4 linked regions of the Schizosaccharomyces pombe genome follow. The gene in region 3 interacts genetically with the main gene of each other region. Each region holds a gene or a part of one and is shown on either strand. Other genes may lie near its edges. The genes, in order: gpd3, SPOM_SPCC569.04, ppk30 and ubp3.

Evidence for each region.
Region 1: mutations in ppk30 (region 3) and gpd3 together harm fitness more than expected from each alone (negative genetic interaction), as found in Schizosaccharomyces pombe (one large-scale study listed by BioGRID).
Region 2: mutations in ppk30 (region 3) and SPOM_SPCC569.04 together harm fitness more than expected from each alone (negative genetic interaction), as found in Schizosaccharomyces pombe (one large-scale study listed by BioGRID).
Region 4: mutations in ppk30 (region 3) and ubp3 together harm fitness less than expected from each alone (positive genetic interaction), as found in Schizosaccharomyces pombe (one large-scale study listed by BioGRID).

Annotation. Positions count from the first base shown.
Region 1 is NC_003423.3:576,209-580,942, forward strand, and holds gpd3 (glyceraldehyde 3-phosphate dehydrogenase Gpd3), read left to right. Parts: upstream 1-1,908; 5' UTR 1,909-1,973; intron 1,974-2,516; 5' UTR 2,517-2,522; coding exon 2,523-3,530; 3' UTR 3,531-3,848; downstream 3,849-4,734.
Region 2 is NC_003421.2:2,426,377-2,429,630, reverse strand, and holds SPOM_SPCC569.04 (uncharacterized protein), read left to right. Parts: upstream 1-2,046; coding exon 2,047-2,412; 3' UTR 2,413-2,553; downstream 2,554-3,254.
Region 3 is NC_003423.3:2,625,289-2,631,378, forward strand, and holds ppk30 (Ark1/Prk1 family protein kinase Ppk30), read left to right. Parts: upstream 1-2,010; 5' UTR 2,011-2,305; coding exon 2,306-5,167; 3' UTR 5,168-5,590; downstream 5,591-6,090. Other genes in the region: TATA-binding protein-associated factor Mot1, read right to left, coding at 1-277; pal1 family early clathrin mediated endocytosis factor, meiosis specific Pal2, read right to left, coding at 5,754-6,090.
Region 4 is NC_003423.3:3,675,670-3,680,331, forward strand, and holds ubp3 (ubiquitin hydrolase Ubp3), read left to right. Parts: upstream 1-1,979; 5' UTR 1,980-2,043; coding exon 2,044-2,124; intron 2,125-2,162; coding exon 2,163-3,620; 3' UTR 3,621-3,992; downstream 3,993-4,662. Other genes in the region: RNA methyltransferase Nop2, read right to left, coding at 1-908; erd2 (HDEL receptor), read left to right, coding at 4,357-4,378, 4,416-4,541, 4,597-4,662.

The sequences.
Region 1 (4,734 bases), 2.0 Mb from region 3:
GGTGAAACACGGTATGTTGCATAGTGTAGTGCGGGGTGGATTGCAAGGAGAATGGGTAAATTAGCAAGCGAGCTGGACCCCATTACTGTGATGCATGAGGTAACGCAATGTGCTAAAATGTTTTGGAAAGAATGACACTCTACGTTAGGATAGTGCACGTTGTTGACACTGCTCGTTATGGAGGACAAGGAAGAAACTAGTTCGGCCGTTTGAAGGGAATGGGAATGGGAATTGAATGAAGAAAGAATGGATTGAAGTAGTCAATTGATTAAAAACTCATATTTTTTTGTGTTACTCATTGACCTTTATGAAGACAACAATTCTGGGTTTCCATTGCTTACAGTGTGTTTCCATAGAGCAAAGTTCTTTTTTGATGGCTTTGTTTTTACGTTGCATTACTGTGTTATTCCTCACTCTCTGTATGTGAGTCTCGCGCTGTTTCAGCTGCTTCCTCCTGCTTCCTTCGGTTCCTTTTCCTTTCTTATCGGACGGTGGCCCGCCAAAATTAATTTCGCCTACATAAAAAGTGACGCAATAGAAACTCTCGGAACCAGTATGGACTTGAGGATGAGCGCATCCCGGACCTTGAAAGGATCCTCGTCGATGGTTGATTCGTCAGCTCATTCACATAAGGTTTCTCTAGAAGGTGAATTAGGGTTCTTTCAATCCGAATCCGCCAACCATCACAAGACCTTGTAACCGCCCCGGAAACTCAAATTGTCCCAACTGCCGATCAATTTTTTCCGAAGAAACAGCTTACGATTAACCGAAGGAACGTCCTGGGCAGTCAAGCGCAGAGGAACATAGTGCAAAGCGTCGTAGTTCAGTATAGTCGGACAGCAGAGTATTGTTGAACTCGATAAAGTAGGGGGGGAGAGAGAGAGAGAAAAAGGAGTGGAAAGTGGTAGTAGGTAAATGAGAGATGTCAATAGAAAGCAAAAACTTTATACAATAACAATCTCAACATCAACGATTTTCCTTTTCCAACTGAATCTCTTTTCCAAACTGTGCACTGTAAACAATTGTTCTATATCTTCTCCTTGTTATTCTATGTCTTCTCCTTCATGTTCCACGTCTAACCCGCTCCCTTCCTACCTTTTCGCTACCCTCCTACCCTCCTACCCTCCTCCATCCTCCCTCACAAACAGATGATGTTAACGAGACTTTGCACCTCGTTATTCCCGAGGAGCCGCTGGGATGCCATGAGCCTTGCTAATAGCCCTGTTAGCACGGTCAAACAAAATCATGCAATTCAATGCAAGAATCGTCAGCCTAACAACAGCTAACTGGGCCAACCCTCTAAACATTCCATTCCATCTAGGCATTGGAAACGCCATTCCAAGGGCGGATTGATGGATGATGGAAGGGACGAGACTGACACACACAGCAGATATACTCGATGACTATTAGTGAAGTGAGTCGATGAATAGTGAAGTAAATGAACATTTTTATAGAATCAATAGAAATGGATTGAATCCAATTGCATTCGAAATTTCACAGTTGACTTGGATTTACCACTTGTCTCATTTCTCCCACTTGTCCTCTTGATTACTATGCTATGCTATGCTATGCTATTCTCTTCTCTTCTTCTTTCCTCTACACTCATTGTTTACATTTCTTTTTCTTTTCCACCGCCATCCCAACTCATCCATTCCATGCCATTCCATCCTTGCCTCTCTCGTTCCTGTCAAGCGAGGCGAGGGAAAGGTCAACGCAATGCGTCGATTGTTGTATGATTATGAGCCAAAAATATTCGCATGGGAAGTTATCTAGAAGGCCGCTAATTTCATTATCCGATCTGCCAAGTACCGAACACGGAAATCGCCGCTTACGATACCGTCGTTGGCATGACAACTCTAGCGTAAACACATACAATATAAATAGGAGTGGTAGGCCAGTCTGCTTCTTTGTAGTATCAAGAAATCAGCAATAGTACTTGTTTGGTTTTGAGAAATAGCAATCGAATTAATTAGGTATGTGATGCGCTGTGGCATTGGCAAAGCATTGGCTTGGTGAGACATGTGACATGTGTCAAACACCTGCCAAGAGGGAAAAATAGATTGAGGAAAAGGAAGGGATATTTTCTTTTGATATTCTCTTTTAGTTGAAAAAGATGGATTTTGAGCGATGAATTGAAATGAAAATGGTCAGTGAGATTGCCAAGAGAAGAGGCTCTCTGATTTTACTTGACATGACGAAAACATGTCATATCCAGTATGGTGAAATTGTACAACGAAGTCGTGATAAGATTCGTTAGTTTCCGTTTCTTTCGGTAAAGAAGGCTTTATTTTTCGCTTGACGGCAGTTTGGTCAGAAATTAAAATAGACTTGCCGAAAGCGACAAAGCTGCTGTTTTTAGTATACTTTCTTTTCTATTCTTCTCTCAATAATGATATCTTTTCTTTTAATGACGCTCATCGTTTCTTCTTCTTCTTCTCTTCGCTTTCTTCCCTCTCTCGCTTCTTTTTGCCTTTTTCTCTCCTCTTTGATCTCTTCTTCTTACTAACTCTTTTCAGATAACAATGGCAATTCCTAAAGTTGGTATCAACGGTTTCGGTCGTATTGGCCGTATCGTCCTCCGTAACGCCATCCTCACTGGCAAGATCCAAGTTGTCGCTGTCAACGATCCTTTCATCGATCTTGACTACATGGCATATATGTTCAAGTACGACTCTACCCACGGTCGCTTTGAGGGCTCCGTTGAGACCAAGGGTGGCAAGCTTGTCATCGACGGTCACTCCATCGATGTCCACAACGAGCGTGACCCCGCCAACATCAAGTGGTCTGCCTCTGGTGCTGAGTACGTTATTGAGTCCACTGGTGTCTTCACTACCAAGGAGACTGCCTCTGCTCACTTGAAGGGTGGTGCCAAGCGTGTCATCATCTCTGCTCCTTCCAAGGATGCTCCCATGTTCGTCGTCGGTGTTAACTTGGAGAAGTTCAACCCCTCCGAGAAGGTTATCTCCAACGCCTCTTGCACCACCAACTGTTTGGCTCCCCTTGCCAAGGTCATCAACGACACCTTCGGTATTGAAGAGGGTCTCATGACCACTGTTCACGCTACCACTGCCACCCAAAAGACCGTTGACGGTCCCTCTAAGAAGGACTGGCGTGGTGGTCGTGGCGCCAGCGCCAACATCATCCCCTCCTCCACTGGTGCCGCCAAGGCCGTCGGTAAGGTTATTCCCGCTCTTAACGGTAAGCTTACCGGTATGGCTTTCCGTGTCCCTACCCCCGATGTTTCCGTTGTTGACTTGACCGTCAAGTTGGCCAAGCCTACCAACTACGAGGACATCAAGGCTGCTATCAAGGCTGCCTCTGAGGGTCCCATGAAGGGTGTGTTGGGTTACACCGAGGACTCTGTTGTCTCCACCGACTTCTGTGGTGACAACCACTCCTCCATCTTCGATGCCTCTGCCGGTATCCAACTTTCTCCTCAATTCGTCAAGCTCGTCTCTTGGTACGATAACGAATGGGGTTACTCCCACCGTGTTGTTGACTTGGTTGCCTACACTGCTTCCAAGGATTAGATTGCTTCTTTCGATTTATTCCGTCGTCAATCTATATCTCTCTAATCAGCCGTTGTTAAACTCCAAGCTATTCAACTGAACATGCGTTCGGTTTTGGGGGGTCTTACATATGTGCGAACTTTTGGTTTTTTATTCTTATGCTTGTTTTCCCCCTTTTCCTTTTCTGGGGTTTGCTACGATAATGATAGACATGTATGAGATTTTCCTCTTTTATTCCACGTTATCATTTTGATTGCGCTCCTAGGGCGATCTCTATAGCTGACGACCTTTCTACGAAATAGATTAAGATATAATTTTAAATGAATTGTTTTTTCTTCACTTGTTTTTAATGTGTAAAAAATCCGTAAAGTATGTGGTGTATGAAAATTTTGATTTGAAATGTGGTAGTTTATTGGAGGTAAAAAAGGTAGACTGATTTATAAAGCATTATATAGTTATCATAGTTGCTTGTTAGCATTCTATTACCGTTTGCATTTGAGATAATTGTTTTCGTCTTGATGATAGATATTCGCTAAGATGTTTCCATAAACTTGGCCCACGCTTTTTTGGGTGAAGTAAATAATTTTTCAGTCCTTTTGAGGGCCTCTGCTGCCTATCTTTACTGCCCCTATTTGCAAGTTTCTAGAATGGAAGTGTAAGTCAAACGATAAGAAAAATTATATATTAATAGATAGCAATTTAAATTTAGCATTTTCATTCTTAGTGTTCGTTCACTCCACTTTCCAGATCAATCTCAGACCATCAAGTATGATGATGAAAGCGAGTGTTCCATTTAGGCGGTTCTCGCAACTCTTAATGTTTGATACTTAGAGCTGTTTGTGCTTCAGAAAATTATTCAAAAAATTTCATGCTTGCATTTGATTCTTTTCTGGATAACAGCTAATCCTGTTTTTTGTATTTTGTCCTTTGGTTTTTTGATACCGCATTGCTAGTCACATGTACCCTCATAAAAAATACAGTTATATCTAAGCGAGAAACAATCGCTCGATTGCGAGGCTCATCTATGGAACTGTTTATACTTGTGTCTCATGTTCCAATAGCTTGAAAGTGTGTTTAAGCATGAGATTGTTATTTAAATTATCAATTCATATAGTAACAATATCTGCTTTGGTGCCAAACATTTGAATTCCTTACGAACTAATAATAAGATTGCTTCTCAGATTTCTCAGTGGAATACTTCCATTAGTAACTGCACCATGGGAGT
Region 2 (3,254 bases), on a different chromosome or scaffold from region 3:
GTTATAAAACCTTGAGATATTTTATCTATCGAACTCATCCTTTACATCTTGACTGATAAGGGTTCCAAAATCATTTCAACTGTATCATGAACCAACGAGGTATTCGGTTTTATTCGTATCACATTTGCAATGCCCGTTCGGTAAAAGTCGATTTCATAATGTTAATAAAGAAAGGAAGCCCAAAACTCACTTTTGAGCTGAATCGCGCCTTTTTCGTACTTCTTCATACTTCGTTTATACAAAAAACGAATTACTAGTATAAATAAGCTTGTACTTGATGTTAATCCTCACCATCGTATTGAACGTGAAGTTTATGTTTAAGTAACACATGGAAAAGAAAATAAGCGATTTAAGCAAGCTATCGTCCATCAAGATAATGTCAAAAAAAAAAACTTGGACTTTGATTTCGCATAACAGTTAGAACCCTAAACAAATAAACATGGAAATAAATACCAATATGTCTTTTATTGCAAAAAACAGTCTCTAGATTTGCATGCTCTTTAATCATTGCTTTCCGGACATTATTTACTAGATTTTAGTTTCTTACACTCAAAATCCTTTTGTATCTTTCATTTTCTTCCTAATAAAAATGAGGTTGTTGATTAAAAATGTGTTTGAGCAATTAAAAAATAGATAGCTATCGTTAAAATTTCCGTAAGAGTGTGTCACCATTTCACTCGGTAGTACTTTGTGAAGATGTTTCCAATTTAGAAAATTTCATTTAGGCTACTCAACTTATACAAGCAGTCTCCTTATTTGTACTGCAACAATAATGAAAATTATAACATCGAGCCTAATTAATGATTGACAATGTTTTGTTTGTGTTAAAATTAATAGGAAATAAATTGAAGTTGATGTACACAATAAAGATTCGCCTAGTTTTTTTAGAGTGTTTTCTAAACTTTTAATTCTTTTTTTAAAAAAAATACAAACAAATTTATAAGGAACTCATTTATAACTATTGAAATAATTAAGAAGCGCAATAAATCGTATTTAATTAGTAGTATTAAATTTAATTCAAATAAATTTTTTCAAAGTTCAACCTTGCAAAAATTAATTAGACATCCACCCTATATGCGATATTCGCATAAATCAACCATTGAGCTACTACCTCTTAGTACGTTCAACCGATTAATGGTGTTAAACATATTTTGGGGTCCATCATAGTGTTTTAGCAGTTTCTATCTCATATCATTAGATAGCTACTCAAAGTTTAAATTCATATATCTGAAGTACAAATTTTGTAGTGATTATCTGGCTTTTTAAAGAAATAAAATATTTAAGTGTATGAAAACAAGCTATTCGCTTTTCTGTTGATCAATATTCAGTTATAGAATCATAAATAGAAATTTGACAGACTTAAAGGTATTTTCAATCAGAATTTTACGTGTAGCACGACTGATTATACTCAATGTTCTGTCATCCCAAAATATAACGACAACATTTTGGATGAAAAGGTAGCCAAATATATATTATTCATGCTCAAAGTTATCTCATCTTGTCTAAATGCATACACCATCAGATAATCTCTTTGGTATTATAATCTCTTTTCTTCTTTTAAAGAATTTAGAGCTACTATACAGTATATACACCAAACATTAATTTCAATTGCATGCCGTAATTCTTTATATCGTGTTCCTCGATTCTGTGTATACCGATTGACATATGCAAGACAATCGAAATCATTATTATTTACTATAGTACTTATAACTAATTTAATTCAAATTTCACTTATATGGGATTTTAGTTCGTTCATTATTTATTCAGGCAGATGTCAGAAGGAATTTCGGCGTGGATGTCAACTTCGTACTACAAATAATCCTTTAGAAGACTTTATACCTTTCAAAAAAAAGGGATTGAGAAAACTGAACATTCTGTTTTACCTGGCTTTGATAAAATAATCGAAAAGTGTATGAGAAATATATTAAAGTTGATAGGTTTCAATTTCAAAGGAAGCCATTAAAGTCTTTGGTGATATTTACTGATGTTGTTAAAGAAAGGGATAGTACTTGTGATTTTTGTGGGACGTATTTTGAAGACTTGAGAATGTCTACTTCTTATCTATGTGATGAAAACAGAAAAGGTGAAAATCGTAAAGTTGAAATACAAGAACTAGTTCCATACTTATATTCAGTCTTACTGAGAGGAGTTCCTTCACGCCCTGTATTTGACAGTCGCTTGAAGTTCGCTGTCAAAGTGCCTGTCTACCCCAAAAGGCCTTTGTACACAACAGACACTCGTACTCATTACTATTTGAAGAATTGCTTTCGAATTCTTGAATGGGAAATTGTTTCTCATGTGGGAGGGAACGAATTGTTGATAAATCGTAGAGTTATTGACGTGAATAATTTTTTTATATGCCAGGATGCAAACTCGGGCCCATTCTGTACTGCATGGAGATTTACTCATTAAAGAAACAGAAAAAAGATTCCACACAATTTCCTATGTTTGACGAGTTTTTAAAAGTCAAAACCAAGCATCATAGTTTGAGATTGATATTGAAGGCGGATGAAGATAAGTGTACTCCTTGGCATACGAGCACTAACAGAATACTTAATGATCCTGAAAAATATTTGGAAAATGTTGACAATAATAACAAAGAGACTTCGTTATACGAATATAGGAAAACTTTGAATATTTGTAAAGTCCATCCTCATTTCAACTTTCAATTGGTAGGTCAATTAAGAATGCTTAATCAAACGAAGGAGATGTTTAAATAATTTATTTGATTGTTAAGACATAGCAAAAGGTTCAGATGTAAAACAGGAGAAAACAAAAAATAATCTATATATTTTTGTCTAGTCCAAATACAAAAACCTATATTGGGCCGGTTATGCTTGCCCTTTTTAATGGTAGTAACAATTCCCATTTTCAAATTTGACAAATAGACAAAGTTTAACAGAAAATTGTGAAATCAGCTAAATTCCTTTTAGGAAATAAAGAAGTTGGTAACAATAAAAGTTGTCCTTTGCTAAACCTACAAAGGATCAACACTATTTTCAACCGGAAATTTAAGCAGTTATAATGTAAAAAAATTTAATATTTCTTTTTTATAAAGGTGTTCTTCAATTTTAAATCCATATAATTTACTTATTTTTTTAATTTTGTTAAGCTGAGACATTGTTCCACAATAACAGTACTTCAATACCATCCAATAATCGTGAATATGAGTTCGAATAGAGATTTGAACCTTTATGTATAACAAAAGGTTAATTCATATTGAGCGTAAAAGTTTTCTCACGTTTGTTCTTCTA
Region 3 (6,090 bases):
AAGGCAAATCTTCAGTTTCCTCCTTTTTTACCGGAGACGTCCTATTTGGATTCCATACAGGCACATTTTCCACTATTCCACCGATCGCTTTGGCAGCAGCAACACGTGTATCCCAGTTTTTAGATTTCAAGTATGGGACGACTCGTCCCAATAGATTGTAAAGCTCATCAGGATGAACTTTCTGTATATCTCCAATTTGTTTAGCAGCTGTCTCTCGAACGACAGAAGTAGAGCCGCTATCAAGCAATACAACCAACCGGTCGAGGCGTGTTGTCATATGTGAAATTAAAGAAAAAGAAGCTTTTCCCAAAAGATCAGTTTAATTACTCACTTAATATGAGGCTCAAATTACACCTCCCAAATATAAAATTAACAAACAAACAAAAAAGAAAACAGTGCTTAAAAATAATAATAATAACACGAAGGATTCAAATAAAAAACCAGGATCTCTATAATTGAAAATAAAGGTTTGTTTACAGCTAGCTGTAGACTGATGATGAGCGTAGTACCTGTCAATAAACACGTCGGTAACCAAATTTTTTATCACTATACTAAAAAACCCTTATTGAATTCAACCGTGGAAATAATAGAGCATAATTCTTTTAATGTTTACTAATTTGCCGCTTTCAATGGCTGCAAAAGCCATCGTCAGCTGGGAGGCTGGTGGTACTTATGCGATTTGAGAAGCCATCAAAACGTGAAAAAAGCTGGCAAACCCTAACCCACACATTTACTTATATGAGTAGTTGCAAATTTTATAATGCAATTTGACAAAAAATATTGAAATGAACATGCTTATACATTTATACTGTGTACTTAATTGTAAAAATGTTATGACCCACTAGTCATATGTTATGTCTATGTATTTTGCAACCTTGGAATGATTAGTTCAAAGAAAGCAAACAACGTATTCTCGCATCGCGCTAAGCATCGTTACTTTGCATTATTATCAATTTGCTTATCATTTTGCTTATTAAGTATAGAACAAATAAAATTCTTATGAAATTTCTCGTATTCTAAAAAATGAATTAATTCCCGCTTTAAACAAGATTTAACACCGTTTAAAGTTCCTAAAAACGGAACATTGCAATTGCGTTCTTTGAAGGATAGTGATGGTTTTCGGTAAATATTATTCTTATTGTGCACCCTACACAGATTGACAAATAATAAAAATAATCAAGTACGATAATGATGCTTCTGATAATTGGTGATTCGACGAAGTTTACCAATTGTCCAAATTACCAGCGTCTGCTAAGCTTTTGCGCATGAAAGATGTGTTACGAATATTACAAGTGAATACAAGAAAAAGAGTGTTTCTAAAGAAGAGTAGGGTTAATGAATAGTTGCAGTCTATTATCGTTTTGAACGCAGAGTTGTTTAGTAGAAAACAAAAAAAAAAAGTTTACATATTCGGTAAAAAAATGTATGGATGCTATGGGCACCAATAGTATGCATAAGGTTAACTCTTTGTATTGCAGCTAAAGATGTAGTGAGGACGTCAATATTTGCAATTCCGCATCTGAACACAGGAAGTCTAGCAAACTCTTAAAGACTTTTTATTATAAACCAAAAATGAGTGAGAATGTTTTTCTTATTTTTATGTTTAAAAAGTAAAAACAAAAAAACTCTTGAAATATTAACCTTTAAACACATAAAGTATATACTACTTGTATAGAAAACGTAATGTTCCCTATCACTTTTACAGTTAAAAAATGTTGAATCAAAATTTGAATATGATAGTAATACCACTAAAAACTTAATGTTAACAAACAACTACTTTTAATTGATGAATTTACTTTTATAAATTGCTATTTGATGCTATTATGTTTTCATTATAATATGTTTTACGGATTGATCGGTAAGTTGCGATACACGGTATGTTAGATTTTCATGAACCGATTTAGTGTCATTTCGCTTACTCGTTATCCGAACCGTTTCCGCATCAAGCTGATATTTACCATAACAAGACCTCACGGTTAAGTCGCTATCTCCGTTGCCTCCCTTACTGACAGACCCAAAACGCACTTGTCAAGTTGGGGCTTACTCTTCCATTGTGAGTTTTGTTCTTTCTCCTTTGCAATTAATTGAAAGTATTAATCGCTAGTTAAGCTATAAAGGTTTTAATTACCCAACGTTGTGAAGAGTAACCAAACGTACTTTGTGAAATTTCATTTAATAGAAAACCGGTTGCTTCAATTTGTATATTCTTCTTTTGTACAAAATTACCTTTCATTTCTCATTTTTAATTGCATCAATTAAGGTTCCTAATTGTTTGTTTGGAATTCCATTATTGTTCTAATTGCATATGACAGAAGTCTACTCGAAAGCACCGGCTACCGTAGGCCAAGTCAAATTATCAAACAATGGAACTTCTAATAAAGCCTACTCAGTTCCGAAATCTCCAGCTCCGGTAAGGACTGATTTGTTTAGTAAGATTCCAGCTGGTACTAAAATTCAAGTTGGCTCACACAGTGTCATTATCCAGCGCTACCTCAGTGAAGGCGGATTTTCTCATGTTTATCTTGCTTTATTGGAAAATGAGAAACCCTTTGTTTTAAAACGTATATATGTCCCTGATAAAACTGCTTTACAACTTGTTCATGGAGAAATTGAGACGATGAAGCGGCTAAAAGGTCATCGTCATATAGTTAATTATATCGATTCAAGTGCACTTTATTCCAAATCAGAAAATCGTTATGAAGTCTACTTGCTTATGGAGTTTTGTGCTGGTGGTGGTCTGATTGACTTTATGAATACTCGGTTGCAACATCGGTTAACTGAAGGCGAAATATTAAAAATTCTAGCAGACGTTTGTGATGCTGTAGCCGCTATGCACTACTTAGATCCCCCTTTAATCCATAGAGATTTAAAAATTGAAAATGTTTTGTTGGTGGCTCCGAATTCTTACAAGCTTTGTGATTTTGGAAGTGCATGTGAACCATTGGCCCCAGCTACAACGCCCGACACAATAATGTTTTTAGAGCAAAATATTGCTGCTTATACTACACCCCAGTACCGAGCTCCTGAAATGATTGATATTAATAGAAGGCAAGGAATAGACGAAAAAAGTGATATATGGGCTATTGGTGTTCTTGCATATAAGCTATGCTATTATACAACACCTTTTGAACAGGTTGGTAATAGTGCAATACTTAAGGCTTCTTTCTCTTTTCCACCCTTTCCACGATATAGTGATAGGATGAAGCGTTTCATAGCCACATGCCTTCAAGAACAACCTTCCCATCGTCCAAATATTTACCAAACTTTGAAAGAAATTATGGAAATGCAAGGTACACCTCTGAAACTTCCTGATGTATATGGTGGGGTCAATGCCTCAACTTACAATCCTCCAAGAGCTCCTCTTCAGCGAACTCCTTCAGGAAGCCTTACTCCGCTGAGTTCTCGTCCAGCACATACGTCTCTTCCTCCTATTCCAACTGTGCAAACGACTTCTTCAAATGTACCCCCGGTGAATCGCCCATCTTTAAAGTCAAAATCTCCTTCTGTTTCTAACATCCTTTCAAATCAGTTAAGTCCTATTTCTTCTGCTAACAATGATGTGATGGCGCGGTTGCAACCAAAATCTCCAATCCCTGCAACAAAAAGCTACTCTGCAACAATTCAGACGCCCCGTTCTCCTTCTTTACGAAGGGCTGATAGCACATCTCATATTATAAAAGTTCCTCATTTACCCGACACATCTGTGAAAACTGCTAAAACCGGGGCATCTGAAATTGATGTTCTTAGTCGGTATCCTAGCGTGGAAGAAATTGATAAAATTACTGACAAAATTGAGGTTAGTAAACCACTTCGCAACAGTGGGCCTCTAGCTTTCAAGCCTTTTGAAAAGATTTCTGCGAACAAACAGACTGATTTATTACAGAATAAACCTGAAGCCCTCCTAGATTTAGAGAATCGGTTTTTACCTAAACCATCTCCTAAACCATCCGAATTCAGTTCGTCTGTGGGATCTAAGCAAAACTTGTCAATGGATATTCCTTCAGTTCAAAATGTTTCGACAAAACAGAAGTCTACAAATGACACAGATAATAGCAAATTGAAAATAAATAAGCCTTTAACTGGGGGATATGCACCTCTACCATCACGTCCGAATCGAATGAATCATAGCGTTTTAAATGAAAAATCTAACAAGGAGTTTGTACGAGGACCAAGAGTACTTCCGCCAATAGAAGTTTCTTCCTCTAAGATGGCTGGACTGGATATTAGAAAAGAGCCTTTTACACCTGCTGTTCCTAGCGCAAAATCAGGTTTAAAGAAAGACCAATCTAGTGAGGTTGCAAATAAAGATGTTGTATCGAAAAACAAGGATAACATAGCTATACTGGCTGATAGAGAAGCACGTCCCCAACTCCTTCTTGACGATAACAATGACTCTAGCTCCTCCTCGAGCGAGCATCTCATATCGTTTAATAATCATACGGGAAACAAAATATTATCAAGGCAGACAACATCATCAAGCATCGATAGTAATAATGTTCAATCGAATATCGAGTTTTTGAAAGGATTGAATGCTACTCATGCTCGTTCAACATCTCAGGTATCGCATACACAAAGATTACAGCAGTCAATTTCAACCAGCTTAGAAAGAGTTAAGAGCAATACCAAAAAGGAGTCTAATAGTCCTCGTCAGGTGTCTAAATTGAAGCGCCCCATCGGTGCTTCTAATAAAATTCTCTCTGGTAAATTCGGTGAAGCATTCAAAAAGTTTGAGTTTGGTGGGGAGAAGATGTCACGGAGACGCAAAAGTGAAACTAAAAAGAATTTAGTATCGATTTTACCTGACACTGAGGTCGACGAGTATCCTAAGGCTTCAAATGAATGGATAGTTGAAAGTGAAGAACTTCCCCAAGTACATGAAACTATCAATCAGTATCGAAAGTCTTGTGAAACACAAAGATCACGTAAATCGCATGAAGGAAGCAATGATCTAGAACGTCAACCATCTTCGCCAGATACTGTGCATCCGGGAATCAAGCGATCTCACTTTATTCGAGAGCGTGTGAAACAATTACTCTCTGATGCTAATAAACACCATCAATCACCATCTGACTCAGAAACAGATAGAACACCTGATTCGAGTTCTATTCATTTACCACACATTGAGCGTCTAAACCTTTTCCATACCAAATCTGAAAGCTTGGAGTAACACTAGCATTCAGTATTTGTTTAAATCGTACTTAATTTCTCGGTTGCATTAGATACCAAAGCATATTTGTCTTCTATTTTTGGACGTGGAGTACTCTCTTTTTATTTTGTCCGCTGATAACTTCTTTATGAACTTAATGATTTATTTTTAACAAAAAAAAAAAAAAAGATTTTATATACTACTAATCAACTACTTGTTGTAAGTATTGTTTATTATATTGTCTTATTCAATATTCATCAACCACTAAACGAATGCTACTTGCATGTTCCGAGGTTCAACAGTCAGTTTTTACTATTTTATATTATAACTTTGTTCTTTGGCCACCAATTTGTAAATAAAAAGAACTTGTGCTTTCTATGCACTTTGTTGATTCAAATTAAAGAATTAAAAATTGCCTTAAACCATAAACATTTTTAATATAACATATATATATATATATATATATAGTAACATAGATACTGTTCTGTAAATTTATCATAACTTCCAGGTGGGTAGCGATCATCGCATTGCGCAAATGGATTTGAAGTTTCGCTAGACTATGTAATGAGCGTAATCCACCAAACTTAACAATTATAAAATTCAACAATCATTCGGTTTCAATGGAATTACGCTTCAAATGCTTGCGCAAACGATAGATAAAAGATGCTTTTTTCTTTAAATTATTTTCCGTATTGTCAGTCGCATCATCGTTGCTGCATACATTAATGTCTGTAGGGTTTGGAGATTCATTTGTTGATGAATTTACGTTTGAAGAATCGTTGTCCGTCACACCGTCCTCATTTTCTTCAGATTTTTCAACACCCTTTGAGTTATTAGGAAGTAAAAATGCTGGTAATGAATTTGCTTCGCTCTGACTTGAAAATGCAGCTATTGGGCTAGTGGCAGCATCAAGATTTCGATGCTTAGAACACGGGTCAAATGGG
Region 4 (4,662 bases), 1.1 Mb from region 3:
ACTTGGAGACCTACTTTGGACCATTTACCAATTGGTTCCAAATTGACACCACGATTAATTAATGCTTGGGCTAATTCTCGTCGCTGGGTTTTTAAAGTATTGGTACGAATTGTGACAGGACGAGGCATTTCATTTGCCTCAAAAAACTCAACAGCCTCAGAAACTGAAAATAATTCAAATAACTTCTCAGCAAGAAAGCGAGAATAACCGTAATACGCACATATATCATTTAAGAGTTGATCAACATATTCAGAACGATTGCGTCCAGGTTCACACAAATTTTTAAAATCATTCAAAACACGGACTATTTCCTGTATCCGCAATTGAATTTGGCTCAAATCCTGTGGAAGAGTAGATATTGGTTGGCTATCGGTAAAACCATCAATAGGTGGAAGAACAGTAGGAGCCTCAGGATGTATGTTGGTATGCAATTCTTCCTCGGCTTCTTTTTCCTCTAATTCCGCTTCCTCATCAAGTTTGCGAGACATGGCTTCCATATTCGCAAGTTCCAAATCCTCTTCATCTCCAGAATCATCGCTAAACATAGGCTTAACCTCATGCTCTTCATCCGAATCAAAAACAGAATCTTCTTCCTCCCCTTCACATTCTTTAGCCTCATCATCGATAAACTCGTCAGCAAATGTTTGGGGTTCCTCGTCATGTTCCAAGTCTGATAAAGTTTCAGCCTCTTCAAATTCGTCTGCATCAATAAGATCTTTTTCATTCTCAGAATCCGAATTTTCAAACAAAGATTTCTTTTCTTCTGCTAATTGGCGTTTCCGAGAATTTTGTGGTTTTTCTTTTGAATGCTTTCTCTTTTTTGCATTTTCTGTCACTTTATGAGAAGAATTATGATTTTCCTCTAAAGTTGGGGGAATTCCTTGCTTAGACTTCTGTTTTCTTCCCATCTTTTATGGAAAATATGTGATGAAGTCCAAAAACGTTTATTTGGGCTGAGGAAAAATTTTGGCACTGGCATTCTTTCAGTCCAACCTCCACTATTCACATCGCTGAGTTTTGTTAAAAACTTTTACGAAAGATAAAGAACATTAAATTTTTTCAAGCAATACTACACTACGCTATGACATACTATGTTGCGTATCACTATATGCCATATGTTTAAATACTTAAGATCCGTTTATTGATACACGAGGATAAACTATCCGTCTATCTACATAGATGCAACGTTGATAGCAACTTATAGAAATATTATTAATAGAGCTACAGTTGAACTGAGGAACGAGGTACAGTTCCTAGCTGTATCGATGATCGATACTAATAGCTTCCTATAAACATTGTCAGTTAAAAATATACTGCATCCCGCTATATTGTAGATCGCAAGAGAAAATTGCCGCAGTTCTATGTATCGTTAAACAGATATTCAAACTGCATTGCTGAAACACAAAAAGATATACCGCATAGCAACAGCATAGTTAACATTATTAAAAATTCACGACTATTGTTATATTTATCTTTTTTAAAATTTGCTACGTACTTTACTGCTCAGCTTACTTAAAAAAGTCACTTAATTTACTCGTTCATCTTACTTCACCTCCTTGACAATTAATCATTTCAATTATGATCACATTAAGACTTGGTTAACGATTGAATTTGCTGCGGCGTAAAATGAGTGACAATATATATTCAAGACCTATATATAGTTCACACAACAGCAGAATATCGAATTTTAAAATTTACTATTTACTTTTCTCTTTTCGTATCACTTTTGTGGTTTAAGATACATATAGTGGTACTTAGATATGTAAATATACCGTATTCTCTAAAAATAACTAAAGATGGGCATGGACATTCAATAATTAATAATAAAAAAGAACAACTAAAAATAATTAGGAATTTGAGTTAGGCGGTCAAGTGTTTACAGTGGAATATCACCATAATACACTTGGTGGAATACGAAGAATTAACGAGGTATAGTGTATATTAAAAAAAGTTTTGGACAGTCTTTTGAAGAGCAAAGCGAACGACAGCCAACCATCAAATTAGTAAACAAGAGTTCAATCTTGCTAGAGTGTGCGTATTTCCATGCGAGATTTGACCTCTGCAACGGACAGCGCGTCTTTGGAAAGTGATTCGTCACGAAATCAATTTATTATCAATTCACTGGTATGTTTTATTAAAATTGTGATTATACTAACGTTTAGCTACCATGGTACTCATGCTCTGAACATGAATTTCCTCATCGAAAGGCTAGAAAAAGGCGTTCGCCTAAGAATTTAGATTGGTCGGTTTCGGTGCAAATGCCTCTGGTCACATCAAAGACGAAAGAGTCTGAAAAATCGCCTAAATCGTGGTCTGCAATTGCGAAAAAGCATGTTCAAGGAGACTCTCCTGTTAAAAAATCACATTCTGTTCCGGTACCGTCTGACAGGTCTGAGAAAAAAAGTTTCAATTCATCCCTTGGTGAATTGATCGAAACATATTCTCCATCCCTCGATGCACCCCGTCCTATACAGCCTCGGGGTTTTATAAATACCGGAAATATATGTTTTATGAACTCTATTTTACAGGCACTAATGTATTGTGTTCCATTTTATAATTTACTTAAGCAAATTAACCGGATGGTTCCGTATAATTTTGAACGTACAACACCTCTTATTGAATCGTTGACAATGCTTTCTAGGGATTTTAGAGAATATTCTGAGAAATTTGATTTACAAGGAGATTCTATTTTGCCAGAAGTGGTATATTCAGCTACTAAGGGGAATCCTCGATTTGAAATGTTGCAGACCGGCGAACAGGAGGATGCTGAGGAGTTTTTGAATTTGTTTCTTGACGAATTACATGAAGAATTCGTGCGTGAACGTAGACATTATTTATTAAAAAATGACGAAAGAAATCCAAAATCTGATATCAAAATTTCAAATGGTATCAAGTCTGGTTTAGATAGTTTTGATGATCAATCTTCTGTAGAAGCTAGTGGCTGGACCGAAGTTGGTAAAAATAAAAAGCCAGTAATTGCTAGATCTGCTACTGTTGAAAGGTCTCCTATAAGCCAAATTTTTGGTGGTCAGCTGCGCTCTACCTTAAGGGTTCCGAGTGCAAGAGATTCTGTTTTGTTAGAACCGTTTCAACCTCTGCAACTCGACATTCAAGCAGAAGATATACATTCAGTTATCGATGCGTTGGAGCATATGACCGCCCCTGAAATTTTACCGGAATGGCATTCGTCGAAAGGAAATGTTACTGCTACCAAGCAAATGTATATAGAGTCACTTCCTCCTGTCTTGATTCTTCACCTTAAACGATTCTTTTACGAAGCATCTGGCGGTACACAGAAAAATTATAAGCCTATTGCTTATCCTGCTCGCTTGAGTATTCCACAAAACGTTTTCAGCCCTTCTGTTCGTGGTTCCATACATCCGGAATATGATTTGAATGCAGTGGTTTATCATCACGGTACTTCTGCGTCTGGTGGTCATTATACTGTCGATGTTCAGCAACTTGATAAAAGCGGCTGGTTTCGGATTGATGATACACACATTCACCGCGTACCTATTCATGATGTTGAAAACTCCGAACTTTCCGCTGATCCGAGTCTTAGTAAACTTGGTCACGGCGATCGTGTGGCATACTTACTGTTTTACACACGACGCTCCTAGGTCATCTGGATTCCTTCCTCCCAAAAAAAATTAACCAATAAAAACCTTAATTGTTTTGTGTATTCTTCAATAAACAACTCAAGGATTTGAGCTAAAACTGGGGACTACACTTTTTTATAATTCTTTTTGTTTAAAACGTCGGTTAGAAAATTTTATCATATCTTTTTTACATAATTTTCTCAAAAAGGTTCAGCAATTTTTTATTATTTTTTATTTTATGAACTTTAGCTATTTAAGATTACGTTCCCTCTCAATCCCTTTAAACTAATCGGCTTTATAATACAACCTTTCTAGGAACTTACTCCGAATATACAAGTGAATTTTCATTGCAGCTTTAATGCAGTATATATTTTAAAACAGTACCAAAAGTAGGGTCAAGTGGTTTTTATTTTGCTGTCCTATTAGTAGTAGGTCAAGTCCAGCTTCATAATGTAATATTTGAAGTACTATGGCATCAAGTTTGTCACTTTAAAGCCCATTTCTATAATTTTCATGCAAGCTAAACTCCTTGTTTTAAATAAAAAGATTTGATCGTTTGAGAATCTTGATTCAGCGCATTCTAAAGTACGAATATAAATTACAGTTTTTTTGTTGCATTTATTAAACATTTGGCCCCCACTTGCATACCCCAATTATATCTCTGCGCAGTTAAGCCTATTGTCAACACCACTACCAAATTCTTTTTCCTAATACCTGGCGCGTTGAAATAGGCACTCCTTACTTTTATTAATTAATCATGACATTTTTCAGTGCACTGGGTATGATGAATTTCGTCAAAGTAAAGCTAATCATTAGGTGATATGGCCCATTTGGCTGCTATTTTCTTGCTTTTGCACCGAATGAAAAAATCGAAAACCTGTTCAGGACTATCTCTCAAATCCCATCTTTTGTTTCTGCTTGTTTATGTTACACGTTATTTGAGTATGTGCTGAACTTTTCGAAAAATACTTTCTTTGCTAACTCTTTTTTTTAACAGATCTCTTTTGGAGATACAAAAGCTTGTATTATTTCTTGATGAGGATAGTTTTTATAGCTTCCGAAT